4 linked regions of the Oreochromis niloticus genome follow. The protein of the gene in region 4 purifies or fractionates together with the protein of the main gene of each other region. This does not show direct contact. Links are inferred from orthologs where the notes say so. Each region holds a gene or a part of one and is shown on either strand. Other genes may lie near its edges. The genes, in order: vamp3, snap47, snap23.1 and stx12.

Region 1 (7,288 bases), on a different chromosome or scaffold from region 4:
GGTCCAACTCACCGCCAGTTGGTTCTCAGCTCAGCTCCTTTGCTAAACCCGGTGTCCAAGACATGCCAATCTCACTTTAACTTTTTTTCTATCTTACTTTGGGTGGGACAACATTTAAGAGAGCAAAGTTCATGACGGTTCACTGTTAAATCCAAAGCTTAAAAGTTCACTTCACACTGATTCACTGTCTCAGTGGGTCAGCTGTAGTGCGGTTTGGCCAGCTGTAGACCTGACTGGTCATTACAATGCAATTTTTGAGCACTTTCCTTTGCAAAATGTGCCGAAATAGCTCAGCTGGGAGAGCGTTAGACTGAAGATCTAAAGGACCCTAGTTCGATCCTGGGTTTCGGCAAAGCTCTTTTGGTCACCATCTAGGGCATGGTGGGTTTGTTGGTAGGACTTCATTATACGGCCTACAACTACGTGGATCATTCCCATCAAATGGGAAAACAAACACAGATGGTGCAGCTTGCAAACGTCCATCAAGTGGAGGTGGGATTTGAAGAAGGTCCTCCTCCAGACGCTCCCAGTCCTCACCCATTATACCATTGACTTACCTAGGGCTTGGTAGGTTGGGTGGTCACAGGTGGTAATACAGCCTAGCGATGTTTCCCCTAGAATTAAATCCTTGCCTTGGCTCTTGTCTGAAATGATCATTTAATAATATCTAACTGTAAATCCTCACCAGTACCTACAGTAAAATGAGAGGATAAGCGTTCACATTTTTACAGAAAAGAAAGACAATATGTGGCCCAGAGGACAAACACGTGGCTCTTGTTACCTGGCTAGCTCAGATGGAAGAGCATCAGACTTTTAATCTGAGGGTCCAGGGTTCAAGTCCCTGTCCAGGTGTCTCCTTGGGAACCTTATCCTTGCCCTTTGGTGGTTCCATGTCTTTACCCTAACCTAACAAGCTCACTTGTTCTTGATAGTTCTGTGACCTCATTGTCATTTGTAGCAAAGTCCATAGACTGCAGGTGGAATGACGATGTGGGATTTGTAGATCTCAGGGACAGAGGCCTCTTTCAGATAATCCCAGCGTACAAGCTCTGTAAAGAATCTTTCCCTGCCCCTTGGTCCAACTCACCGCCAGTTGGTTCTCAGCTCAGCTCCTTTGCTAAACCCGGTGTCCAAGACATGCCAATCTCACTTTAACTTTTTTTCTATCTTACTTTGGGTGGGACAACATTTAAGAGAGCAAAGTTCATGACAGTTCACTGTTAAATCCAAAGCTTAAAAGTTCACTTCACACTGATTCACTGTCTCAGTGGGTCAGCTGTAGTGCGGTTTGGCCAGCTGTAGACCTGACTGGTCATTACAATGCAATTTTTGAGCACTTTCCTTTGCAAAATGTGCCGAAATAGCTCAGCTGGGAGAGCGTTAGACTGAAGATCTAAAGGACCCTAGTTCGATCCTGGGTTTCGGCAAAGCTCTTTTGGTCACCATCTAGGGCATGGTGGGTTTGTTGGTAGGACTTCATTATACGGCCTACAACTACGTGGATCATTCCCATCAAATGGGAAAACAAACACAGATGGTGCAGCTTGCAAACGTCCATCAAGTGGAGGTGGGATTTGAAGAAGGTCCTCCTCCAGACGCTCCCAGTCCTCACCCATTATACCATTGACTTCCTAGGGCTTTGTAGGTTGGGTGGTCACACGTGGTAATACAGCCTAGCGATGTTTCCCCTAGAATTAAATCCTTGCCTTGGCTCTTGTCTGAAATGATCATTTAATAATATCTAACTGTAAATCCTCACCAGTACCTACAGTAAAATGAGAGGATAAGCGTTCACATTTTTACAGAAAAGAAAGACAATATGTGGCCCAGAGGACAAACACGTGGCTCTTGTTACCTGGCTAGCTCAGATGGAAGAGCATCAGACTTTTAATCTGAGGGTCCAGGGTTCAAGTCCCTGTCCAGGTGTCTCCTTGGGAACCTTATCCTTGCCCTTTGGTGGTTCCATGTCTTTACCCTAACCTAACAAGCTCACTTGTTCTTGATAGTTCTGTGACCTCATTGTCATTTGTAGCAAAGTCCATAGACTGCAGGTGGAATGACGATGTGGGATTTGTAGATCTCAGGGACAGAGGCCTCTTTCAGATAATCCCAGCGTACAAGCTCTGTAAAGAATCTTTCCCTGCCCCTTGGTCCAAACATTTTTTTCCAAATGGTATTTGACTTGTCCATGTGTGCATCCACAACTTTTAGACAAGGTTAAAGGTGCCAGTTTTGGTTAGCATCTTCTCAGTTCAAGGCGATGTAAAACTCACTTCACTGTGGACAGTAAGGCTCGTGTTCAAGCAGTTTCCAGTCCATCGCAGGGTTGAGCCTTCATGATTCCTGGGTTCTTCAAAACATCCTAACCAATTTCCTCACATCTGACCGTGTGTCATGGCTCAGCGGCCCAGGAAGAGAGATGGACATAGGTGCAGATTCCAAAACTGGAGGCGTGTAGCAAGTTTAACAAAGATGTTTATTTACAGAAAGGAGGGAACAAACTCAAACTAGACTGTGACTATGAATTTAAATTCGCATGAGTTGGAGAAAGGCAGGAGGGGGCAGGGGCGAGTCTGAGATCCAGGTGAGCACGGAGCATGACGCTGGAACGCAGGGAGGCAGGCAGGTGAGAATGGCAATTAGACTGAGAGGTTTTACCAGCAGCTGGAGACCAGGATCCAGGTAAGCAAGTATGGCAATGGGTGAAATGTGAGCTCTGAGAACAGGCTATGAAACAGGAGAGGAAGGTAAGTACACATACTACAGTTTAATCGAAAGAATGTGAGGCCACAGACTAACATTGGTTAGCAGATAATCTGGCGAGGACTAATTGAGTGTGTCGATCCTGTATACTGCTGGAGTAATTGCCCAAAGGTGGGTAGCCAGGGAGGAGCAACAAGTCTCTACCCAGAGGAGGAGAGCTGCTGCTGGAGAAAATACCGTGACTCACCCAGACCGTGATAGTTTGGGTCATCTTCCAGACATCTTCCAGCCTGTATGCATACTTTTAACCCTGTGTGGATTATAGAAAAAACAAACAAATCAAACATATGCACTCAGTTCTAGTTTTCTTAAACTCAATAAAGATGTATTCTGTACAATCATTTCACCCTGGAGAAAGACCAGTTCAAAAAATCATTAGAAGCCCAAAATTACCATGACATTTATGCCCATGATGAGTGTATGTAAACTTCTGAACACAACTGTAATGGGATCATTTCTGTTGCTAAGTAAATTATAGGCTATTGTTTCCTTCCTGTGGCCTTTGATTACCCCAAAACACATATCATTGTGCATTTTGATCACTGTGTAATGTAAATTTTTAATGCTGTTATCCTTCAGAAGTAAACTCGGTAAACTCTGTCATAAATTAAACTCGTGTAGGCCACTGTTGTGTTGTTGCAGAATTGTTTTTGCATTAGTTTTGTATGATATGAATCCATTAATAAAGCATTTTAGGGAATTAGCACCTGCTCTCTTAAACCACATAATACAACTCAGTGACTGACACAAAAACAGACTGCGTTCAGTTTTTACAGTTTAAGGAAGCACTTAAAGATCGATTTGTTCTAAATGTTTCATATAAATCTACTATACATGCGTACACACACATATATACTCTCTTTAACAGTTTGAATGAAGAAAGTGTCGGTACTCCTATTTTTTCAGTTGTTGGTGGTTAGTGGTTGTTAATGACGTGTGGATGGGGATGAGTTTTTGTTCTCATAAGTCACATGCTGATCACGGGCTTGGGTGGTCGCCTGCTCCTTGCCTGTCTACTGTAGTTTGCAAATAGAAATTAAATAAATAAAAGGTGAAAATAGACTGATTTGAGGCGTTACCTCTTTAATGGTTATTGACTAAGGTGTGCGAAGTGTGCGTTGCTTTTCACATTTTGCGTTAATAATGGTAGGCATGCGGCAGCTATAAGCCACGACCTCTTTAATGTTGCCTTCACGTGCTCACCGCAAACTCATACTTTGACCAAATAAAGTAGTTACCAGATAGTATGATCCAATTTTGTAATTTATTTCTTTAAAATAATTTAGTACTGTAAAAGTTTATGTAATTACTGTAAGTTTGCAGGGAAAATTCTTTGATTTTTTGATTTAAATGCTAAATGTAGTCAACTAAAGGTTAGTCACCAGGCTAAATGGGTTATTAAAATTTATTGTCACATATTATTGTATCGATATCGATTTGAAAAGAAATTTCTGAGATTTCTTTTCTTTTTTTTTTTTTTTTATTAAAGTACGCGTTTACCTTGTGAAATTTAAATACGTGTGATTGTTCCTAATTCCGGCAACCTTGAAAGCGGCACAAAAACCGCTGGTACGGCTGGGACTGTTACGGCTTGACAGTGAGCTCACAGGCAAAAATCACCAGCGGTGTCGTTTGAGGAAATTTCGTTTCACAATGTAAGTCTATCCTATACCACAAATTTTTACTTGTCAGTCAGATGTTGATGACCTCGCTTCCGTTTTTTTTCTGGTAATACTTCAGGACGCGGGCGCAAAAACAACGCCCAGAACTTTTGCTACTACCCTGCAACAAGTGCTAGTGCTCGTCTTCGAGACGTGAGCTAGCTAAACTTAGCTTAGCCACAGCAGCAACGCCGCATTAAAGTTGTCTAACGTTGCTCACTCCTCGTCATACCAACTTATCTTTGCTAGTTATGTAGGTAGTCAAGAAAGAGCGTACACAATCGGTTTGTATACAGGCCACAGCTGTTACTGTTACACAAATCTTACTGTTAGACAACGATATGTGCTAGCGTTTTAGTCTATGCTTAGAAACTACCGTTTCCTGTGTCGTTGGCCTATCTACAAGCTACTCCTGTATACTTTGTTTAAAAAAAAAAAAAAAAAAAATCTTAAAATGTTTGTGTATGTCCCTTTGTGATTTCTAATTTGGATATGACTAAAATAATAGCAAGACACAATCAAAGGCAACCCAAAGTTGTAAACAGGAAATGTATTAATGGCCGAAGTGTTTTATTTTTAATAGGTCGTAATCATGTTGATTACTGGGTAATTAAAATAAGTGTTAAACTATATCTAAGCTGAATACTTTCCACTCCAGTAATAACGGCATTACCGACAACGGGGTGCAAGTTATCTAACGTTATTTCCATCCCATCAGCATCTACTGTTTTTTTTTTTTTTCTTTGTTGACACAGTTAGGGACTGTACTCTGTGTGTTTCTCGGTCAATATGTGTATTAGTAGGCGCTTTGAAGCTTATGGGTAATGAAAGAACAAGGTAAGAGACGTGTTTCGTGAGTGTTTACTTTCTGGGAAGGTGTATTGCCTTACAGCATCAACAGAGGAAACTTTTTTTCTTTTTGAACTAATTTATTAAAAAAAGGTACAAATGTGAGTCTCACTACATAAAAGTGGGCATGCGCTATATTGTTGTGTATTATTTCTCCTACTTGCTCTTTATACAGTGCACATAGAGGCAGTGTACTTGGTGTTTTTGTAATGAATCACAGACAGATTTCCACAACTATTTTTGTCCATATTAAAAAAAAATCCTTGGCAGAGAATTTGCATGTCTTTCTGAAATTGAGTGATGATTTGATTAAACCATAAAAGTCTCTCTTTCATGATGTTACTTGATGGTAGTGGTTCAGTAGTATAGATACAACAGTGATGATGATATAAACTTAGGTCCCGGAATGTATGGATAGTAGATTTACAATGGATTTGAAATAAAATAAATCTATTAATGCGAGAGGGTTAACAAGAACATTCAATTAACCACGATCACAGTTTCTGGACTCAGTCCTTTATTTGAAGTGGTTCAAATGTAACTGGACAATTTACTCCAAAGTTGTTTTAATATTTCTCCATCATTCAATCAGCAGTATGGTTGGTAGTTGATTGCTTGCAACTCTAACATTTGCATTTGGAAACTGTGGCTGTGAATCCACAACATATGGTCAAATGGGAACTTAATTCAAATGACACAATAAAGCAAAAATAAAATTTATCTGTAAATTTTGTTCAGTGAGTTAAATTGAGGCTGAAAGGCGGGACTTAAATTGCATCTTGATTCCTGTCTTTTTATTCTAATGCATTGGTGAACATGGGTGTGTTGAGGCAGTGCTGAGCCAGCTCTGCCTTGCTGCCTTTTGAGAACCATTGCACATTACAACAGAACTGAGAACTTGTAGCTTAAATTGGTTTCATTGAAATGGAAAGGAAAATCATAGTGGACGGAAGATCCTAGGCTGCATCTGCATTTGGTTAATTTTTTAGTTACACCTTCAAAAGCCACTATCATCACTTGTTCCCAATTTGGGACCAGCAAAGTGGTGACATGCGAGTGTCTGCTTTTTGGCACTGGCACCAGTATTTATTTCTGTGGTTGTAGATTAGGCACATGCACAGCATTAGTAGAAAAGAGGTATGTGTAGACATGGTATCAGACCTACATAGCTCAACTAAAGAGTCTTCACGTGAACCCTGGCGTGAAAGAGAATCGGGTATAGCAATGGCAGAGGTTGCTATACCTAAACACAAATGTAAAACTACATAAACCTAAACATAGGCACACCAATGCACATTGCTAAACTAATTAACAATAATAGATTTTTATTCATTATTTACGTCTTTCCCAAAAAAGTCAAAGATAGAAACTCATAGAATTGAATACATAAAAATGAGTTCAATTAAAAGTATTGACCAAATTTTTTTTTTTTTTTTTTTGTTTAAACATAACACACATTTAGTAATCCACTCTTTACCCACTTGCTCTTCACTAATACAAAGACCAAACCAAACAAAAGAGAAGAGCGTTTACTGCATTTGTTTATTAAACCTACCTTCATTGTATCCTAGCTAGACATCACTTTGTTTTTAACTGAGCCAGAGAATGTTACCCAAGGGATCCAGCATTTTTATTTTTATTTTTTCCCAAGTGCATAAATTAGATGCTCTTTTTTTTTTTAAATGGCGTCACAGCTCTTGCCATGACCCTCTTTGAGGAAAAATGTGTTTTCATTTACAGGAAAGTGGGCTGTATGTAGATGGCACATAGTGAGCATGCAACCATCAATTTAAAATTATTATGAAACAGTCACGTGCACAATGGTACAAACACAATTGGCTCTGGTGAATATTACATGAATCTGAGGCTAATTTTATGTCTGTACTTGTGGGTAAGTTCAGGCCATTTTACATATTAGAGAACAAAGCCCACCACTGATGCTGTAGTGTAGTTTTGATACTAGCAGGAGCTGCAGGAAATCTATATCTACAGTTTGTAATAGTTTGCTTGTTTGT
Region 2 (7,612 bases), on a different chromosome or scaffold from region 4:
CAAACTGTTTTATTCGATATGCTATTTTACCCTATTTATAGTGTTTATTGTATCGATTGATATGCTTTTATACCTTTTTTATACCATTTTTATTGTTTCATTTGTTATGCTTTTATTCCCATGTGAAGCACTTTGAAAAAACTTCCTGTTTAAAAAGCGCTATATAAATAAATTTTACTTACTTACTGCCTCTCGCCCTATCGTAGCTGGGATAGGCTCTAGAAAAAAAAACATAAGAAGAATAAGATAATGGAATGATTGATCTTTACCCATTTGATTAGAGCAGAATTGGCTGAAATCTTTCGCTTCTATAAGCTAGATCCTGAGACTTGAAGATAAATTCATGCAGTGGGTGATTTTGCAAAACCTTCTGATTTTGTTGTGAGGTCGTAGGGTGTTGTATTGAAAAAATAAAGTATCGTGCAGCTCTCTCCATGCACTTTCATATGATATGTTATACTCTATGGGTTTTTTATTTCCAGTTTCTTTTCTAGGTCAACTTTGACCTTGGGCTATGAGAAATGAAGGTTGAGGTCAAATGCTTAGCCAACCTCAGTGTCCCCCAAGACCTGGAATATTGTTGCGAAGTTTGACAATGATCTATAAAAAATTGGGGATAATATAAAGTTTTTGCTGATTTTTAGTTTTGGTGTGACCTTTACTGTATTCTCACCAAAATTAAAATCAGCTCGAGATGGTATTGAATCTACCATCACACAAAATTTAAACATGATATCTTGAAAGCTGTGGATGCTAGACTGCTAACAAACAGACAGATAAGCAGAGACAGAAAAGGAGGAGGGGGTGGGTCTGAGAAGCTTTTATTCGTCTGAAAAAGTACTCTAATTTTATGACGCGTGTTTGTGTCCTTTGCTGTTTTCGTTGTCTAGGTCTACCTGAGGGAGTCAAAGACCTTCCTCCTGGGGTTGCATTTCCACTAGAGTCCAATCTTGTCTACATGCAGGGTATCAGCTTTAGCAAGGGCTGTTACATTGGCCAGGAACTCACAGCCAGGACTCATCACACTGGTGTGATTCGAAAACGCCTGATGCCAGTACGCTTGTCATCTCCAGTGGAACACCTCGAGGAAGGAACGGCACTGCTAACCCAGTCAGGCAAGCCAGCTGGGAAGCACAGAGCAGGGACAGGAGAACTGGGTCTAAGTCTGATCCGCATGGCGCACGCCAAAGAGGTGTTGACGCTCAGATCTTCTGATGACACTACAGTGACACTCGAAGCCTCTGTGCCAGACTGGTGGCCTGAAGATGCGAAATGTAACTGAAGGGAATGATGTTTTAAAGCTCCCTAAAAATGACATGCATCACATCTGACAGACTTCTCATAGACATAACCCTCAAGTACAGTATGTTACACTGTCATTGCTTAACAGCTGTGTGGCACTAGTCCATGTTTGGGTATCTTTTTTTTTTTTTTGCAATAAAGCCCAAGTTTGTGTGTGTTTTGGATTTTTTGTTTAAGTATTATTTACCACTTAACTATGCACTATTATAGATTTATCGCAGCTTGGTTCATACTGGACACAAATAGTGTTGGTGATTATTCAATAAATATTTAAAAGAGAAAACTCAGATTTTTTTATGTATTTAATCTGTCAGTGCAAAAACAAATGCAAGACATTCACAAGCAATATTTGAGATTGCAGTTCATCTCAACCCAAAGATGCGGTAACAGATGTAATCATCTTTTTTTTTTTGCACTTTTGCAAACGGGCACTTTTCATTCAAGCTATTTCCAGGCGATAACAATGGTGAGAGGCTGAACACATTACTCCTGATAAAGGAGATGCTGCCCTCTTGTGGACTGTATGGTGTCACGAATTTGCTGTAACATTGTTTCTGGCTGCAGAGTCAATGTTGAGTGATCGAGTCGCTTAAAGTCTTCATTGCACAGGAGGCATTCGATTATATGAGCTACTCTTTGTAGGTCAAAGGCCGCGTGGTAAGGTCCCAGCGTGGTGAGGATCTCTGAGAGATGACGTGAGTAATCGGAGGGATCCCCAGAGGAGCAAGCGTTAAGGAAAGCCATTCTGTTGTTGGCAATGATTTTCAAAAACGAGGCAAATTCTCCATAATTGATACCGGAGCAAGCCTTCATAATTACCTAAAAGGAAACACACCCAGCAATTGCTATTATGATCAGAGCAGAAGCACATTTAAATGACATGACTGAAATGTTCCATGCATTGTACCTGGCAGTGCTGATGCCACGAGTCCATTGTGTTTCTCCACTCATCTATCTCTTTTTGAACAGATGACAGTTCAGTCTGAAGAAACTGCCACATGATGTCAATGTTGCAACCATTCAGCCAGTTATGATTAATGGAGATGGTGTCCTCCTGTATGAAACAATGTTTTAATATGTCAAACTGGTGATAAATAAAACGCAGTGTTATACAACGTAAATTAACTGTGATGTCATAATTTCCTGCAAAAAGCCATATTTCTACCAAAAAATATATACAAGGTTAAACTTTATGAAAGATATGTTGACTGGAGGAGATAAACCAGAGCTGCTGTATTGAAACATGAGTGTGTCTGTACATGTGTGTAATGTTAAACAAAACATGAATTTTGTTTAAAATCTAATTTGAAAAAAAATTTATTAGGGCTCTTGTCATCTAGTGAGTAGTAAGTAATCCAGTCCATTAGATTTGTAGGCATCTGAACTTATCACTTCCTTTCATCAATATTCGTTTTCCTGATGAGATCTGAACACTATTAGACACCTGAGTTGTAGGCTAGCCCTCGCGCTCTACTGTCTACACTGTTCACACACAGAAAACACAAAAAACTCTTAAAACAAACCAGAACTGCACATTTGCTTCACATCTACAATGCAAATCTCCCATTGTACTACATTTGACAGATGCTCTGTTGCATTTCTCTGCAGAAGATTGAGACTCAACAGACCAGGCAAAATTGTTCTAATCTTCAATTGCCCATTTCCAGTTAGCCTGTGCAAAGTGTAGGCTCAGTTTCCTGTTCTTAGCTCAAAGGAGTGGCCAGGCATGGTGTTCTGTTGCTGTAGCCCACTCACTTCGAAGTCTGACATGTTTTAAGTTCAGAAGTGCTATTCTTGTAAAACTTGTTTCTAACGAGTGGTTAATTGAATTGCTGCTAGTGCTACCTCATCGAGAACTGTCGTTCACTGGATATTTTCTGTTTTTCAGAGCATTCTCTGTAAGCTGGGAAAAGTTTCTGAAATACTCAGACCAGCCGGTATGGAACAAACAATCACATTCAAAGTCACTTAAATGGCCTTTTTTCCTAATTCTGATACTCAATATGAACTTCAGCAGGTCATTTTGACCATGTCTACATGCCTTAATGCACTGAGTTAGATAATTGTGTTAACAAGCAGCTGAACACGTGTACCTAACATTGTGGCTGGTGTTTACATTCAGTCTAACAGAACACTTCTCATAGTAAGAAATGCAACTTGTCTTTTATAATACTTGGCAGACCATTTTCCTCTAGTTCAACAGTAGATATGCCTCTACAGCTCTTACCAGATTATAAACTTGATGATGCCAACCACTAGGCACAAAAATGATTTCTCCTGCCTCCTGAATGATTTCAAGAGGTTGGCAGGCTTCTTCAGCGTGTGGAAAAAGGCCTCTGTCTCGAAGTTCAGCTGACGTAACATCATAAGGGAGGTTGCCGTGAGTGTCTCGTAAAAACTCCTCCTGACCTGGAGGATACAAGAGCCACTTCTTCCTGCCACAGATGTTTGCAGACCAACTGTATGAACGGAACACATCAGAGTGGAATGGTGTCCTGGTAACAAGAAAGTGCACTGGGTCGGATCATGAAACATTTTATGTAAGCTTATGTTTTGTTTAGTTTTTTTAAAATAATGTTTTCATACCATGACCCTTTAGGTCCCATGTAGACAAATCGGTAGTCATCCACTTCAAGGGTGTCCCAGTATTCATTGAGCCAGTCAGAAGTAAAGAACACTGGTGTGGTGTAAACATTATGTTCTGGAAAGTCCCTGTGGAGAAATTTACAAAGGATAGTTACACATTTTTCATACAATTGTGTAAACATTTTTCATTGGATTAATATTACTGTGATACCTTGACATGTGCCAGTCTTTAAGATAGAGGCATCCTTTGGGTGATGAGTGTCCATTCAAGATGTATTCCCTCCAGTAGTGTATAAATTCTTTGAAAGGCATGACTTGTTTGGGGTTGGCATTGTACTCCTTCGCATTGCAGTTTGCAACAGGGACTGGAGTCTCATCTGTGATTGAAACAGTAACAGTTATTAAGAATGATTACAGAATATCTTTGCAGACATTTACAAAGTAATGCATGTTTGTTTGTTTGTTTTACCAAACTCTTGCAGCAATTTCTGGAAATTAGGTTTCCCATCCCCAGTCACCCACTGTTTCCTACACTTCCACTCCTCTGTGAATCTCCTTGAAAACATACAAGGGTGATTGGGGAGCAGATATTTCTTGAAAAACTTGGAATAGCTAAGCTCCTTGTCAATGTAATCTAGAAAATGCGAAGACCAAAACTGTTCATATGACTGCCTTGGTATTTTGACCAGGCTGCTGCAGTTACGGTACGCCTCCCTATCCATGATGGTAAACAAGCCCTCGGCTAGTTATTTAGCAAGCTCAGCTGTCAGGGTTTGTACAGCAGGGGAACTGTGAGGGGAAAAGCTAACTGGAAGACTAATTCGCCATTACACTGCGTACGTATTCTCACGTTTCTGCCACATTTGAAAATCAGGTTAAGCTAGAAAAAGATACTAAGCTAAGAAAAAACGCAATTTTCCAATATGACAAGCCGCTACACATTAGCGCATGTTGGGACTCCTGAACGACGCACATATAAAACCGTTGCTATTTATATTTTGTCACGATACATACATATATATATTTAATATATTTATATTAACGTTATGTTTTTCGTATCGCTTGGAAAGTGCCGAAACCGCCGCCGCTGTCATTATTTTTCGCCAGACATTTTCGCAATAGTGCTTCGTTTTTTTTGACAGCAAGTTTTTTTTTTTCAAGTCGGACGGTAAATACAGCCGTGCTCGAGCGTGACGTCACTTCCGCAACAAACAGGAAAGTTACTGAGAGGACTACGAGGTAACGTAATGCCCAGCCCGGTGTTGACGATTAATGTGGTGTGGGTTTAATTGCACCGAGAGGATATAAAACACGTTAAAAGGGTTATAACATTATAATGACGCGCGCGTAATGCGGTCAGCTGGCTAGAGAGCTGAAGCTGCCAGTGTGAACGCCTCGACTGAGCTCATCTTGCTGTCTGGACTACACTCAAAAGAAAGTATGTTCTTCATCACGACTCGTAGATCACTCAGTACAAAGTGCTTCTGATGTAATTTCATCTTAACCTGCAGCAGTACCTGTGTGTATGTTGTTGTCATGTTAAACTGATACCTGTTTGTCCCCCTGACAGGTGAATCTGTCTTATCTCCTTCAATCACAATGAGCCGGGACGTTCCCATCCACAGCTGGCCAGGCTCCTATTACATCAACAGTGAGAAACGGTGGGAAAACGGAACCCTGTCTCTCACCAGAACCACGGTGCGCTTCGTCTCCAACCAGAGCAAGGAGAGTCTTGCCAGCTTCCGTCTCTCGAGGATCGTGGAGATCAAGATGGAGTCATCTAGTTTCATCTTCAGCACTCTCACAGTACTTGAAGAAGGCAACGTGAAACATTGGTTTGGTTCCCTTAAGCCCAACAGGGTGGTGGTTTATAATGTGTTAGAGCATTTCTGGAGAGAGCGGCTTCTCTCTCCCAGCTCAGAAGCCCAGCGGGCTGAGGCTCAGCCTACAAAGGGAAGAGAGCTTATCAGCCTGGTGGCAGGGGCCCAGAAAAGATTGGAGGACACTGGCAGAGTCCTCGGCCATCAGGGAGAGCAGTTTGACAATATGATGCAGGGCCTGGAGAAGATTGACTCTGACTTGGGCGTGGCTGACAAGTAACTATCTTAAGATATTTTTAGTTATTGAAGTCTTGCACATGTCTTGTTCATATTGCTTGGCCAACTCTATAACAAGGCCTAATTTATGACTAACATAAGTTCCTCCTGCCTCTGTATTACAGACTTCTGTCAGAACTGGAGTCTCCTTCCTGGTGGCCATTTGGTAAACTCCCCTGGAAGACCCAGCAGGATGCAAAGGCCGAGGATGCTGCGAGAGCTGCAGCTGCTGCTTCTTCTTCAGCAGCCAGGTACTCCAGCAGAAATAAGTTAATCACAAGCATCCCAGCAGTGCTGTCCAAAGGTGGAGAATCGGACTTGAAGCCTGGATGTTTGTTGGTGCTAGTGTCCTCGCTGGAGGTGCGAAACACAAACTGCCAGCTCCTTCACAGATTTGAGCGAAATGAAATTGACGAAATCAGGGTGCACAGCCCCTATGAGATTACCGTCAGGCAGCGTTTCATCGGGAAGCCAGACATATGTTACAGGCTCCTGTCCGCCAAGATGCCAGAGGCTTTGTCCGTGTTAGAGATGCAGTACAAAAAGAAGATAGAGTTCACAAGCGAATACACAGATTTTAAGACAACTCCAGTTTCATCGCCACGTGACACAGAAGGGAAAAGCTGGACTGAAGGTAAGGAACACATCAAAAAATAAATAAAGACACTCTTATTCCACAGTGGTTTCCATGCCTAGTATAGATTTGACCACTAAGTGGCAGTAAAGGTCTGCATTTCCACCTATGTGTATTTATAAGTGTGCAGCCACATGTAAAAACATTTCATCATGGTTATTGGTGTCTCCTTGACAGAAATGTATTTTGATGAGTCACTTCACCCTGATTGCCTCAGTTGCTGTACTCTGAGTTTACTGTCTGGTTTCCTCATAAACAACATATGTACTCTGCACTTTTTCACCATCTCCACCCATGGAATCAGGTTTACTGCAGACGTGCCAAGAGACAGAGCTCCCACTGGAGGTCCCCGCAGGAGAGCTGTCCCAGTTGCAGGTGCATGTTTTCCAGCCATCTGTCAGTCAGGCTGAGGCCCAGGAACTCAAACAGGTGAGAAAAGCTGGACTCCCAAATTTATGACTACACTACCCTGGCCTTAAAATGTTTCATATTTGTATTCACAAGACAAGTAACACAAATGAAAAGCCAGTGTGCTCCGGGAACAGATTGATTCAAATAGGGGTAGCTGCTATTGTAAATAATCCCAGAGTCTCAGCAACATGTATTTTGATGTTTCCAGTCCAAACCACAATTCATCATAATGATTTTTTTTTATTTTTCATCCTGTATGTTTAAAATGTTATTTGGTGAGACCACAAACCAACGTCCATCCTGGTTTTAAGAGAGGAAAAGAAACACGGTTAGTTATTTGGTCAGAACCTACAATGTCTTTCCATTCAGAACCTCACAGCGCTGAATGCTGTTACAGACACGGTCTGTGGTGGCAAGACCTACACAGTGACGCAAATTCAGACCCGTGATTCGAGCAAGGTTTTTTTTTTTTTTTTATGTGTGTGTGAATCGCTATTACAGGTTGCTTAGACTAGGATTTTTCATGTAAAACTTTCAGAAAGTTGCTCTTTGTTTAATCATATAATGTTTAAATGATCAAAGG
Region 3 (7,219 bases), on a different chromosome or scaffold from region 4:
AGCTAGAAATGAGCATAAAAGGAGATCTCATGTACTGACTGCACTTGCACTTTACTGTATCTCCATGGTCTAAACTGCATTACATTTTAGAAGGAAAATACTCCACTAGATTTCTGATTTTGCAAAACACAGATAGAAGAAAGACCTCCTCTATACACAAAGCTGTGTCCAGATAGATTTCAAGTATTTCTAAGTGCATTTTTGTGCACTTGCCTTCTTTTTTTAAAGGTGGAAATGAATGAGAATGCAAACTGAAGCTGAAATATTACACTCAAGCTTTAAACGAGACCAACACTTGGAGTGGGTAAATGTTCAGATAGGTGGCTCAAGAAGGAGTTAAATTACATTAAAATAGATTAAAGAAATAATACATGAAACAAACAAAATTCACTTGAAATTTGCTCTTTTTAATTGCACCATCTGTTTATGATGTCTTCTTCTACACTGGTTTTATGGCATCTGACCAACTGTCTACAGCTGTTTATCTCAGTAGGGGGTTATCTCAAGTCCCTAATATTTCACAACAGTGTGTCTTAATATTTTACTTCTATTTTTAGACTGTCTTTAAATTCTATAACATTATAAGCTGGAATTGAGTGGAAACTTTGAGCGTTTGTTTATGACTTGTTTTAATTTTCACCAACATTGATGATGATTTTCCCTTTACACAAGGTGTCATTTAAGTAAGTGTTAACTGTTAAACTGTTTAAAAGAAAGCAAAAAGTAAATCAATGAGAATTAGTTTTCTAAGTAAAAAGAATTGTTGTAGAATTCATCAATTTATTACCCTACATTTATTTTGTACCCCTTCCTAGACCTTTTGGCCTATAAATCAAGAATCCACACACTAACAAATGTCTAAAAGCATAAACATTTGAGTTTGAAAGGTCAAAGGTCAAGTCTGTACAAACATGGATGTAATGCTTACTGGTTGGAGGAGGAAGATTGTGACCATTCCACTGTCTCTGCAGCTGGACTGATCTAACAAGAAAGTTTAATGTTTAACAAGTGAAGATGAAATGTTTGCTTTCCTCCTTAAGCTCGTTAGGTTTTCCCCATATCCGGACATAAACAGCCAGACATACAATAGGAACTTTTCCTTTTGGGGTTTGTAAGGGCTAGTGCTAGCTTGAAACATTCATCAGCTTTGTTTTAAAAGCGTTATTTGAAACTACTGACTTGTCGCTTTTGGCAGCGAGATGTAAAAAGAATATCAGAAATGTTGTTTTGGGGGAAAACTGAGGCACATGAATAATAGATGAGCCTTGGCTTTCCATGTTTGGCCCTCCTGTGCAAAGCGGGCTAATGGCTATCGATGTCTCTAGTTTCCTTCAAATTGCTTCACATGAGAGCTCAATTCAAATGGAGAAAGAGTAGATTGCAGTGAAAAGGAGACGAGGGAATGAAATTATCTCTGAATATTGAGATGCACGCTTGGTCAGCCAATTCGTTGTCCTGACAAGTATCAGGTATCAGCGGAATTAGCCTAATGTTAAATTAAGCCCGATCAAGCAAGGCCTTGAAACATTCCCACGTCTCGGTCCTTGTGCGAGGAAAGATGGATGTACGATCCAACTGGAGCGGCGCCAGAAATGAACAGATGTGCTCCTTGAAATCACGAGAAACAAGAAATCAGGGCTATGTCACTGACACACATGCTCAGACACGCTCTTTTATATCCCCATGTATTCTCTTCCAGATCTAATTAATCACTTGATTATTTTATCTATTTTCACTGGCTGCCATACACATGGGACAAAAGTTGGCGAGAATAAACTTGGCCTATATGATGTTAGTTTTGGCAACAATCAAAAAGCAACCGAGGAAATACAGATGGCGATCTCCATTTTTCTCCCCCCTCTTTCCCTTTCCCCCTTCATCTCCTCTTCTGATGCTTCCTTGCGCTCTCAAACACATTATTAGGGTATAGGCTAATCTATTCTTCTCTCTCCCTTGTATTTTTGTCTCCTCATACTCAACTAACTAGCATGATTTAGGAATTATGGAATTAGGGCAGCACTCCCATCTCTATTAATGAGGAACAGGATGATGAAAGAGCTTGTTCCTCAATGTGCCATCTGCAGTCACTATTACACATTCACCTAATATATTTCTCTTTCTATTCTTTGCCCTTACCTTCCTCTCTCTCTCTCTCTCTCTCTCTCACACACACACACACACACACACATTATACCTTACTTGTAATTACAGAAGAAATAATTTCAGCTCTTCAGGCACTGTTGGATGTGGCGTGAAATGGTGAAATGGCACAGCAAGAAAGTTAACTATGGACCCCCACACCCTTACATAGACACATGCACAAACACATTTGCAGGAGTCCAGATGGGCCGTGTGTTATTGCTGAATAATGCATGCTATGTAGACTCTATAAAAGATACATGGGCAGAGAGAGCTAAGAATCATTCAGGCACCATGGCCAGTTTGGTGAGGGCAGCGTTGGAGCATCCCTTGTGCAAATTTGGAGCTATTACAGGCTTTTCAGCTTGTACATATTTAGCTATAGGTGACCCAACAGGGAAAATATTTAGCTCCAGTTAGAGAGAAAAATAAAACTTGCCTTTTAGACACTGTCAGCTGATATTGTGGCTGGCACTCTGCCCGGTGTCTTTGCAGTCACCTTGAAAAGGCTTTTGTGGTTTAAACCATAAAACTTGGGGAATTACACAGCAGATTCTTTGCTTGAGGCTCGGATTTCAGAGCATCGCTTAGAAACACTATGAAAAATATCCAACAGTGTGTCTTCATGTAAAATACCCAGAAGAGGGGGGGGCGACGGGGGTGAGGGGGGTAGGTCCAGGTGAAGGGTAAATGCTGCACTCATGTGGGGAAAATGAGCAGCGCTTTTTTTTCTTCTTTTTCCTCTGTGGAGTCATATGACAGGACATGCGCATCATTAAGTGTTGCGTTCAATGCTAACGGAACGCTCACTTCTCTATGAGTCGCAGTTTGATGCACAGTAAGGCCACAAAGAAAATTGATTAGCAAGAAAGAAACACTAATCTTAAGTGGAAGCCAAGTAACTTCACACAAGTTGTATTGTCTCATGATTTTGTTAAATCAGTATACAGCAGCTAAAAGATAAACACAGACGAAAAACACAAGTAGTTTCACAGTTATATTTAAGTCAACTTTTCGTGTAAAGTTGACTACCTGAGAACCAGACTACTTTTTCAGTTTTAGATTGTTAAACCTATAGGAAGAGAAGTAATGCATGCCGTGCCTCAAATCGTTCTGGGTGACCGTGGGATGCAAGGTCCTTTATGTGAAGTTGAAGTGCGCCTCAAAATCGTTGAAAGTTTTGAGTTTTCATATTTCCGACAGCATATGAAAGCACCATCTTCGGACAGACAGCGGAACCAGTGAAGGAATTCGGGAGTTGCCAGTGCCAAGTTCACATACCGTCAAGAAGGAGGAGTTTTCAGGTCATCTTTTCAAAAAAAAACAAGGAGGGTTAACTGTAAGTATTTACTCCCTTAATAAATATCTACCTATACTTTCCTCTCAACACAGTTGTTTGAGTGTTAGCGTTAGGTAGTTGACAAGAAAGCGGAACTAGCTAACTAGCAGGCTAGCCAGCACATTAGCCAGTTTACGAAGTTACCCTCTCGGATTTTACCCTCTTTGCGATAGCTGAGCACCACTGCAAGTTTTCAGACAATGTAAGACAAGTTTAATTCGCTTTGATAAACTGTTTGACACTTGTCTTTCCCTCTTTTGTAACTTTTTCATTAAGTTTAAGAAGTGTTGTTTTGGAAACCTCTCGGCCCCAGCGATGGTGTACTGGGTGTGGGACACTGCCTGAAACTACGGGGGTTTCTTGTAATACTTTTGGTTTGTTTCTCATTCAGGCTAACGTCACCTGTTTATCAAGTGACCCACGTTACGTGGCCACTTGGCAGTTAACCACAGTCAGGTGTGTGGATACGTGTTACAGCAGGAATCATTAACCACATGTCGTATTTTCCTCAGTGTCTTCTGTCTTGATAGTCAGGAAAACCTGCTTTTGTCGTATATAAATAGTGGAATCAAATGTCACAGTTTAGGCTTTGCTTGTCTGGTATGATGTCATAGGTCCCCTTGTTTGTTATTAGTCAACCCTCCTACCCAAAACATGACACACCTTCCTCCTCGGCAAAATAAATAGGTTGTCTTTATTCAAGACAGCCTGTAAGAACAAATCGTTGAACAATAGCTTCTGTCTGATTGTTTAAAGAAAATAAAACATCAAGAGTGAAATGAGGATATGTGTTCAACGTGATTGGAATAAGACGCCACCTGTGCTCCAGTCAAATCTGGAGGAACAGGTTTGGGTAGAAGAACAAGAAACGCATTTCCCTGTGTGGTGTTTGCCACTCGTGCTTGGTCAAGTGAAGAAACTGCAACATGAATAGGTATGTTCTTTAGCCTCGGTTGTATTATTTCCTTTGTTCCTCTGAACTAACATCTTTCTGGTTATATTAACTGTGGAACGAATTTAAGGGTTGGGTACGTAGTTTGGGGTGCAAACAAGCGAAATGTAATATCTAAGTCATATATTTGGTAAATCTAGTCACATATGTGGCTAAACACGGAGAAAAATTGCTATCAGTTTAAAAAAACTCTGCTTTTACTATCACATTTCGTTCTTTATCGCTGACATGTTCATCTGCCCTCGTCGTGGCTATCTAAAGAGTGTACGTGTGTAAATGAGTCCACCTTCATAGTTATAGTTGTAAAGTCACATCAGTGTCTTGCCAAGTCCAATAATCGGTCAGAAAAGGCAGTGAAGCCTGAGTGAATAAAGTGCACTCTTGTCCAAAAAAGGGGAAAAAGCAGAGTCAACAACATTAAATCCTCTGCACTGTCTGCCAAGTAGACTATCCATGTTTTTTTTTTTTCTTTCTTTTTTTTTCTTTCCCCCTCAGGATGTTTAGTGGCTGCAGGTTTGAAAGGGAAGTTGTAGTTCAGGGGTTATTTGCAAAACAGGAAAATGCCACTTGGACGTTAACAAGGAAAAGCAGATGACAGGGAAAATGCGGGGGGGAGCAGTGTTTGCATCTAAAAACTCTAGCCTTGGAGTAAATGATTCAGCTTTGTTTTTATAGTTTACTGCTTCTGCCCTTGACAGTACAGTGATAGGAAAACAAGCTTAATTCTTTGCTTATGATGAGCTTTATCTAATGTTGCCTTGTTCACCAAAGCTTGTCTGAGGCCATTACGCCAGTCATTTTTAGCCTATCCCATGATACAAGACTGCATGAAGGTCACCTGACAAAGTAATTTTGTTTAGATTGGATTTGTATCTGCTAAACTCCTGCACGAGGTAACATCAGTCATTATGTGATCCGAATTATAACTGCAACAATTAACACACTTTGTTCCTCTAAATGAATTGCATTGAAATGCACAATACAATTTGGCAGACAGCAGCAAAGGCTTGTTCCTCATGTATCCTGTTTTTAGATCTCTAACAAACATAAGCATTTTCTTCTGATCTGTTTTCATCTGTCTTATTTTGACTGAACTATTCATGCTCTGCATTGTTTGAAAACTACAGAGGGCACAAAAAACAGACAGTTTTCACACTTTCTGGGTTTTAGTTGCTAGACACGGTCAGCTCTTCCTGCTGCTGTTCACAGCTTCTTGATGATGCTGCCTCATGCCTAGCCTGCTGTTTTTACAAATTGTGCATGATCATGAAATCTGAATGTTGATCTGAACAGAGCATGCACTGAGCTGGCAAACATGGACTTGTGCGTCCTGATGTGATCAGCTCTGGGAGTTAATCACATCCAAGATTATAGTAGTAAAACCGCTATGTGTGTCACTTTGTTCTCAGGCATTAGCAGTTTTTGGTGACTGGGTAACTGACAATGAAGCTTCTTGAGAATTCAGTGTTTAACACAGAGGAAAGAAAGTTGTTTGATTCACATTACAAGGCACCTTTTTTATGGATATATGACAGGACATGGATTTTATGGATGTTATACTCTTCTGCTAATTAAGTTGATTTAGTGTTTCAGTACATATGCTGACCATAAAGATACTAGTGAGTGCACAGCCTGTTATCTTATAATCACATTTTGTCATTAGTTTCGTGTTAAACCAACCATAGAGCGCATCTGCTGTTATATAATTATTCTAATGTAGCATAACAGTTATGTTTTAGGTATTTATGCACTTCATTTTCACAGTTCTGTGTTGAAAGTAGCTTTGAGACTGACTGCATTTTGAAAATTCCGAAGAAAATCACAAGCTCATCACTTAGTTGTAGTCAAATAAGTTAACAAATGTAAATACCATCTTAAACATCTGAATATTCCTAAAGGACTTTATTTCATCTGTTTTTATACACTTTTACTGGTTATTTAATTGATCTGCAACCTTGAAATGTCTAACAATAACCAGTGATTTCAATTCGCATTTATGTATAGTAGGCAGGCATGATAAGTGTTTTTCCAGCCAGTTGTCACTATCCAGTCTCACGCCTCTGATTTCCATATCACAAGCTCCATATCCAAGTTCCCTCATTGTTGGCATACATGATTCTACTAGCCATCCCACTGCTAAGCTTTACATGCTTTATCAGTAAGCCTGCTCTGTCCAGACTCACAACACTCCTTCAGGGGAAGGAAAAGAGCCTGATTTGTTTGGATTTTGCATCTTTTCTTTCCCTCTCCATATGAGTGATACAAACAAGGTGAACATTGATTGCACATTTAAATGCTTAACCTTTTAAATGCATCCTCTATTTTTAGTAATGTAAAATGCTGAGCCTCCTTTTTTTTTTCTTTTTTTTTTTGTGGTCTTTCCAAACCTTAACGCAGGGATTCATTTATCCTTAATTATTTTTAAAGCATTAATTGTTCTACATTTATGGTTCACTGCTCTAAAAAATTTTCTCAAATCAGATTTGATAACTTCGTAGCGGCTTGTCAATGTGAGGAAACTTTCCACCACAACTTATCACAGTTTTTCTGGTAGATTTATCTACAAACAAGACAGGAAACAAAGTAGACCTAACATTTAATGAGTTGTAATCTCTATAAGCACACATCTGTAAGCACAATATATGCAGTATCTGCAAGCAACATCATTTTGATACCTGAAAATGTCAGGTTTCCACTTCTCCTATTCAACAGGCTTTGGTTAAAAGGTCGGGGGGAAAAAAAGTCGGAAACCATTGGTTTGTTTTGATAATGACTGGTGAACGAGAAGT
Region 4 (6,918 bases):
CATCACTGAGTCAGAGGGTGAGTCTGTGTGAATGACACGTGGTGTAGTAAGAGCTTTGAGTGCTGAAGTACCAAAGTGAGATATAAGGACCATTTACCAAAATCAGCAACACCGGAAGACTTAAACGAGCAGAGGAGGCAGCTAAAGAGTATGATCACAGAGTAAGTGTTTCCACAGTTCAGCAAAACAGCCTCACAACATTTAACCAAGTGAGGATCGATGTCGAGGTCGTGAATCAAAATGTTCTCGCATAACGAGACCTCAGTGGAGTCCTTAAACTCCACTCAGTGTACATTTATGTGACATGAAAACTGTCTAAACAGTACAGTGGATTTCAAAGTTAGCATCAGATTATCTACATATTTCTTAACCTGCTGAGGTTACCTATGTGCAGCCTGATCCTGGCCTCTTGGCCTGGGGGCTCTGCATTCAAGGGGTCGATTTTTAATAGGAAGTCAATCAATAAGCTTCAGCTTGTAGTCACATTTGATAAGGTTTGTGTTCACACATGAAGGCTGCAGTAAGCTTTGTTTATTCCAACACAACAGTGCTCATCCACAGTCAGACTGAAGCCTACATGATGATGATGATGATGATGCATCTCTATAAAATAAATGCATTCTTTAATTTGAAATCAGGAGACTTGAAATACTCAGGAAGCTGAATCTCCTAGTTGTCCTGCTTCGTGTTATAAACATGACACAAACAAACAGAAACTGGAATGCAGTGACGTGTTTCAGCTTCAGCAGCTTCATTCAATCACATCGGTGGATATCTTCCAAAATAATTGTGTTTTCAGACAGGAAGAGATATTTTACTGTGAAAGGGAGGATTAACTGTATAATGAGGGGTACCTGTGAAATCCATCATCTGTGCTGAAAACATCAGCAGCAGGTCTGATCCAGGAGCAGCGCGACAGAGACGAGGGACCGAAGCTTTTTAAAACCTTATTATGGTCCAAAGTCAGACAGGCTTTTAACTGAAGCTGTAAATGAAGCTGACTGTGATCCTGTTTCATGTCATCATGCACAGATACACGACCTGCTGGTAGAAAGAGTTTGTCTGACCTCTGTGCTCGTTACAAGCAGCACCGTGTTTCACAGCTACACCTTCTCAAACAGCGATGCTGAAGCTGAAAGACGGCTTTGCAGCGTTTTATCTGCTGTCTCTGATACTAAGTGGCACAGCTGTGATACTCTTCCAGCATAGAAATATGTAAAACAATTAACAGGCCAACTAGTAAATGAGAGTAACTGGGCCCATGAAGGCATTCGTTCACGGTGGCAGGGCACACTGTGGTGCTGTAAACATTAGCCTGAGCTCTCCACAGATTGAGATGTTAGCTTTTGTATGTTTCACTGCAGGAAACAGAGCCACCGGAGACCCATTGTTGTGGATTAAACCAGTGGGATGAACGGAGGAGCGTGAGGGGGAGGGTGGTGGAGGGCATGGTCACAGGCAGCTGGAGGAGGATTACCTTATAGTCACATATCTTTAATAAAGGCTCAATGTGAGCACAGACTGCTGCAGTGTTATGGAGATGAAGGTGTAAGGGTGAGGTCAGTGAAGACTGAGCACCCCCACAGACTTCTCTGGTGACCCTGAAAGCCGACCCCCTCCACAGGGTCAGAGGTCACTGACTCTCAGCTCATTCTGTGCTCTGAGTTAAGGACAGAAAACAAACTGTTTTAAACCTGCTGTGCTTTTCCCAAAAACAAACTTTTTCTGTCTCCAGCTCTGCTGCTCGCTCGGCGGGGTTACTACATCATGACCTAAATATAAATGAAAACTGCATTTTTTCTTTTAGATTTTCAGTTTTATTTGAAATCCTATTTTGAATGTGTAGAAATACAGTTATGTGAAATGTATGTGCTGTGAATACAAAGAGCCTTGCTTAGGCTAATGTTTGTTTGTGGAATATTAACAGTCACCACCCATATTACTCCGTAGAGTGGAGAGGAACCCCAATAATTCACCCCCACCCCCACCAAACTAATATCCATTCAACGCTGAACCATCAGCATTGAAAATGTGTGGGTGGGAGGAAAATTGGAATAATGGTCACTGAATTTACATCAAGTCTGAAACAGGTTTAGTTATATCATCGGTATATTATCGTCAGACAGGCTGGGCTCTTGTTCCAAAACGATAAAGATATTCACTGTCAGTGAGATCTGCACATGGTGTCAGAGTAAGAGATGGATAAACATCTGCAGTGAGAAATAAAGGTTATTAATATTGTGATGTTTTATAAAATGCTGTTGCTCTTTTGGATGAACTCACTTCCACACTCACCAGCTTTGAGTGGGATAATTCTGTTTCTACACCGTGTGACTCTCGTGTACACGTACAAACAAGACAAAACTCATGTCCACCTGCAGCCTGTGCAGGTCAAAACACACGAGGCCTGGTCTTTATGAAACTTAAGGACAAACAAACAGCAGCACTTACCGAGGAGTAGTTTTGTTTATCAAATGACAAAATGTTCTGCCCATTAATCAACACTGAACTGAACTAATATCAGTCTAGAAACTCATAGGAGGACAGAGCAGCAATCACACCATAATGTGTGAATATCTGCCAGTGCAGGTGAAGGCGAGGTCTACTTACTGAAACTGTAGAAGGCTGTGAGCCAGCTGAGGAAGGTTACTAGTTTCATTTTGGTCTCCAGCGTCCTCGCTGTTAAAGCTTCTCAACCCGCAAAACCCCAAAATCCAAAAGAGGAAAAAAGTCAAACGGACAGCCAGTTTCTTCTGTGCTCTCCTGCTGCGTGTCTTCTTTGGTAGGACAGCATAAACGGACACTTTCTGTGTCAGATCATTGCTCCTCTTCTGTCCTTCTCAGCATTCAGCCTCCACAAGGTTCATGTTCAAAGCTGCTCTGAGCATCGAGCGAGGAAGAGACCTCAGTGTGGACAGAGCTCATTAGTTATTCTGCTTCATTGTTGTCAGTGAATGGACACTGACACAGAGGTTTGTGGCAGGTTTGCGTCCTACCAACCAATCACAGCCCCAGAGCAACATAAGGGTGGTAGCTCAGCCCGGGAGCCATGATTGATAATCATTTAAAGAGAGGTCTTCTGGTTGGCCGCTGCCTGATGGACCAGCTGTGGCCTGAGCCCGAAACCCCTCGCAGGCTGGCTGGAGTTGTGATCCTGGGATACTTCCACCAGGCATAAAGAATCCAAGTGGAAAATACTCTGGATTCACAGGAAATCCAGTTTGGATTCAGGAGGGTTACATCGAAATATTCCTTAGCTATGCTGCAATAGGTCATTAGGGCTTTCCATGAGTGTTTCTTCTTCACTTACCTTTTTCATGTGTTTATAGACCACTCTGCATTTCATCATGCTGTTGAGATTTGGCACTGTATAAATAAAACTGGACTGAATTCAGCTGAACTTGTGAAAACATGAAACAAACACCTAAGCTGAGGCAAGTGAGGCCTGGTGTTTGTTCCTTTCATGAGTAATTATGGTAGGCCAGTATTTAAAAATAGTGTGCTGTATTTAGTCTACTTATACTTGTCTGACATTAACATTTGTTTGGTGATATGAAACATTTAAGTTGAACAGATAACTGTTTGTTCTGGAGAGAAGAGGAATGAAAGTCAGTAGAAGCAAGACAGAATACTTGTGTGGGTGAGAGGGAGACAGGTGAACAATCAAGAAATACAGGGAGTGAAGGTGGTTTAAATACCTCAGGTCAACCATCCACAGCAACAGACAGCGCACAAGAGAGGTGAAGAAGAGAGTGCAGGCGGGTGGAGTGGGTGGAGGGGTTATTTGTAGTGAGCCCTACTATGATGGGTGGTTTAGCAGAGGTGGCAAAAGTACACCATTCTTTACTTAAGTAGTTAAGACAGACTAATTTGCTTGATGAGGGAAAGTTTGGGCCACACTCCACTCCAGTTGGTGGCGCTAATGCACCATTTCGCTGTTTGCAACCTCCAATAAATGCCAAGAAGAAGAAGAAGTGACGCAGTGATATCACGGACCAGGAAGAGCAGCGTATTTACTACAGGACGAGAAGCTTTACCAACCTATGTGTTCGTTTCAGACAGCTTCATAAGTAAGTATGGGCTGGTTTCTTTTCCACGGTAAACGCCAGCCTCAGCGACGCCATGTTGTTTCTTTGTCTTATTCATCACACTGTGTTACCGGAAACAACCAACAGCTGACAGATTAGTGTCCCGAAGCTAGGAAGCGAGGAGCCGAGCCCGTCCAGCAGCCTGCAACACCCGGGAGATAAACAGAAAAAGCCCGACGAGGTCGCTGGCTTGGTGATTTAGGAACACACCAAATTAATAAGAGCTTACGTTCCCAAATATGGCTGCGCGTCGGCTGGCACACGCCCAGATAAACTAGCTAACTCGTTAGCAAGCTAACAGCTGTTGTTCCGACTAAGTGCCATTATTTTCAGCTCCGGTCTGCCGTCAATAACTGTACCCGGACTTTGAGACATGCAGCTGTACAAACCCCAGAACCGCACCGAGGAGCTGTCATACAGTGAAACCGAATCGGTGCTTTCTGATCCCTCTCTTTTTCTCTGCAGCCAAAGCTTAAGGTCCAAGGCTCCATCACAAACATGTCCTATGGTAAAGCAGAGAGCCGCTCGGTCCCACGGGACTTCGGCACCCTGATACAGACATGCAGCTCCAACATCCAGAAGATCACACAGAACAGTAAGTGCTTCACTTCCTTTGAAACGGCAGTGTGATGTGGCTGTACTCTGTAACAGCGAAAGGGTCCCATATAAGAAGACCGGTGTTTCTGAGGTGGGGGGTGTTTAACTGTAGTAGTAAAAAAGCATAAATAACTGGTCTCCGAGCACGCTGAGAGCCAGAGCTGTGCAGAGAATACCATTATTTTTATCATGGTGCAACCGACACAGCGAAGGTGAGACAAAATTAATGACAGTGTTTTCCAAACGTCTTCTTTTGCTGCTGGTTCAGATAATTTTGGTCAGTGAGACATGAAACCTGCAGATTCAGAATCTGTGACATTTCCAGCTGTGTGTCCGTGTACAGATGTGGCCCACGGGCCATACGTTTGACACCCCTGCTCGAGGCTTTTTAAATGCCAACTTGTTTTTAGACCAAAGATTTTCTTGTTCTTACAGCTCACGTGTTTGTTACAGTTGTTTGTTGTTTTATTGGTTTACTATTGTGGCTTTCACTTCAGCTTTTTCCACAGTACTGTGCAGTAGCAGAAATTTCTATTAGTGTTCTCTCCAGTGTGTAACACTGTTAAGACATCCAAACTATGACACAATATTTATGTTGTGAGAAAGAATGACACCAAAGCTGGATTTGTGTTGAGTTTCAAAGGAGCTTATTTACCTGTAACAGCCTCACATACGTTATTCTCTCATCCAGCTTCATTAGGCCCTCTCCTAGAGCACTTCATCAAGTGTTCGAGGCTTTTTTTCTTTATTGCCACTGTGTAAACAGATTATAACTCAAGTAAAAAAGTGGCACCTTCCTCGACACTTCCTGTCGCCTTTAACAGGGTGTGGACTGAGTCATATGTGAAAGCTGCAGCAGGATTTTCATTGAATATGAATACATGTTCATGCCCACAATGTCCGACTGCATGTTGATTGTAATATTTTTGGGAAAGATTTACAAAAGTATTGCAAGCAATAAATTGTATGACCTGTTTACCCACAAAGTCTGCACACAAGCGAAAAATGAACAGTTTCTCAAATTAAGGCGTGTCCTTTCTGTGAGAGGCTTTAAGCAGTGACCCGGCCAGGACAACAAATACAAACACAGAATCACCCAGATACACCTGAAAAACTGTACAAGCGATTGAACACAACAGCCAGATCATCACTGGGTACTTTTCACTTCCTTATATCGTTGTTTATGTGTATGTTCTGAAATCCCTCAGCTTCTGTTTCAGGTCACACTGATGATGATGATGATGATGATGATGGCTCATAGCAAACACACGTGTCTGACACAAATGTGAACATTAAGAAGCAGCATCAAACTGTGATGACTACAGATGATGTCATCTCTGTATAACTACCAGGAACAAAGTGCAGCTTCTTTCTTGTGTCACTTGTATATTTTTCTTCCAAAACTGAGTGCTATCATTGTGTTCCCATGGCAGCGGCTCAGATAAAGACCATGGTGAACCAGCTGGGGACCAGACAGGACACCAGTGAACTGCAGGATCGGCTGTATGTACCGATATCATCTCCTCTGCTAAACAAACACACTTTCAGTCACCTTCACTTTCTCAGAGCCAGCGCTGCCACGCTGTAGCGACTCTGTTGAACTGTCCTATAAGAAATGTATTTGTGTAATTATTAGAAGGTCTTATGGTCTGTCTGCTGTTTGAACTGTTGGTGTTCACAGGCAGCAGACACAACACTACACCAACCAACTGGCAAAAGAAACCAACAAACACCTGAAAGAGCTGGGATCAATCCCTCTGCCCTCATCGCCTTCAGAGCAAGTAAGTACTCGTTTACATGTCCTAATGAAAGTAGCACTGTACTGATTCTTCTATAGCTTACAGTCACAGCACTTTCTACAACATGCCTCATTCACCCATCCAAAGTTCCCACTGCTCCTCCTCCTGAGCTACAGCCACCTAACAATGGATGATGTCAAACTGTAAGATAAATATGCACACTAAGTTTGAAAGTGTGACTATGGAGCCTGTTCTTACAGCACAGGCTGAGTGATGCTGACAGACCCACTTGGTTTAATTGGAATTTCATTCAGCCAACATTGTGGCTCAGGACACACACACACACACACACTCAGGACACAGTGTGTACAGTATGTCATCATTCGTTGACATTTCATGTGTGGTGAAGGAAAAATTACTTTGAGACAACTGCAGAGTTTAGCTTAACAAATGGACACATACAGCTGAGATATTTTTGCTTTCAAAATCAGGAT

The links.
Region 1: the proteins of stx12 (region 4) and vamp3 purify together in Homo sapiens (affinity purification with mass spectrometry; 3 studies listed by BioGRID and IntAct, counting the BioPlex papers as one, with this or other methods). This does not show direct contact. The link is inferred for Oreochromis niloticus from reciprocal best matches to the Homo sapiens genes STX12 and VAMP3.
Region 2: the proteins of stx12 (region 4) and snap47 purify together in Homo sapiens (co-immunoprecipitation; 3 studies listed by BioGRID and IntAct, counting the BioPlex papers as one, with this or other methods). This does not show direct contact. The link is inferred for Oreochromis niloticus from reciprocal best matches to the Homo sapiens genes STX12 and SNAP47.
Region 3: the proteins of stx12 (region 4) and snap23.1 purify together in Homo sapiens (affinity purification with mass spectrometry; 3 studies listed by BioGRID and IntAct, counting the BioPlex papers as one, with this or other methods). This does not show direct contact. The link is inferred for Oreochromis niloticus from reciprocal best matches to the Homo sapiens genes STX12 and SNAP23.

The regions. Positions count from the first base shown.
Region 1 is NC_031970.2:25,721,423-25,728,710, reverse strand, and holds the start of vamp3 (vesicle-associated membrane protein 3), read left to right. Parts: upstream 1-4,283; 5' UTR 4,284-4,416; coding exon 4,417-4,418; intron 4,419-7,288. UniProt on the Homo sapiens protein: SNARE involved in vesicular transport from the late endosomes to the trans-Golgi network.
Region 2 is NC_031982.2:19,266,264-19,273,875, reverse strand, and holds the start of snap47 (synaptosomal-associated protein 47), read left to right. Parts: upstream 1-4,610; 5' UTR 4,611-4,724; intron 4,725-5,096; exon of another isoform or gene 5,097-5,326; intron 5,327-5,458; 5' UTR 5,459-5,487; coding exon 5,488-5,984; intron 5,985-6,109; coding exon 6,110-6,618; intron 6,619-6,922; coding exon 6,923-7,047; intron 7,048-7,612. Other genes in the region: iba57 (putative transferase CAF17 homolog, mitochondrial), read left to right, coding at 891-1,282; 2-oxoglutarate and iron-dependent oxygenase JMJD4, read right to left, coding at 1,786-2,121, 2,210-2,356, 3,530-3,797, 3,889-4,014, 4,100-4,265, 4,358-4,610. UniProt on the Homo sapiens protein: Plays a role in intracellular membrane fusion.
Region 3 is NC_031983.2:19,368,600-19,375,818, reverse strand, and holds the start of snap23.1 (synaptosome associated protein 23.1), read left to right. Parts: upstream 1-4,209; 5' UTR 4,210-4,404; coding exon 4,405-4,412; intron 4,413-7,219. UniProt on the Homo sapiens protein: Essential component of the high affinity receptor for the general membrane fusion machinery and an important regulator of transport vesicle docking and fusion.
Region 4 is NC_031985.2:38,176,187-38,183,104, reverse strand, and holds the start of stx12 (syntaxin-12), read left to right. Parts: upstream 1-3,913; 5' UTR 3,914-4,070; intron 4,071-4,553; 5' UTR 4,554-4,586; coding exon 4,587-4,683; intron 4,684-6,118; coding exon 6,119-6,188; intron 6,189-6,366; coding exon 6,367-6,466; intron 6,467-6,918. Other genes in the region: si:ch211-57n23.4 (immunoglobulin superfamily DCC subclass member 3), read right to left, coding at 2,611-2,659. UniProt on the Homo sapiens protein: SNARE promoting fusion of transport vesicles with target membranes. Together with SNARE STX6, promotes movement of vesicles from endosomes to the cell membrane, and may therefore function in the endocytic recycling pathway.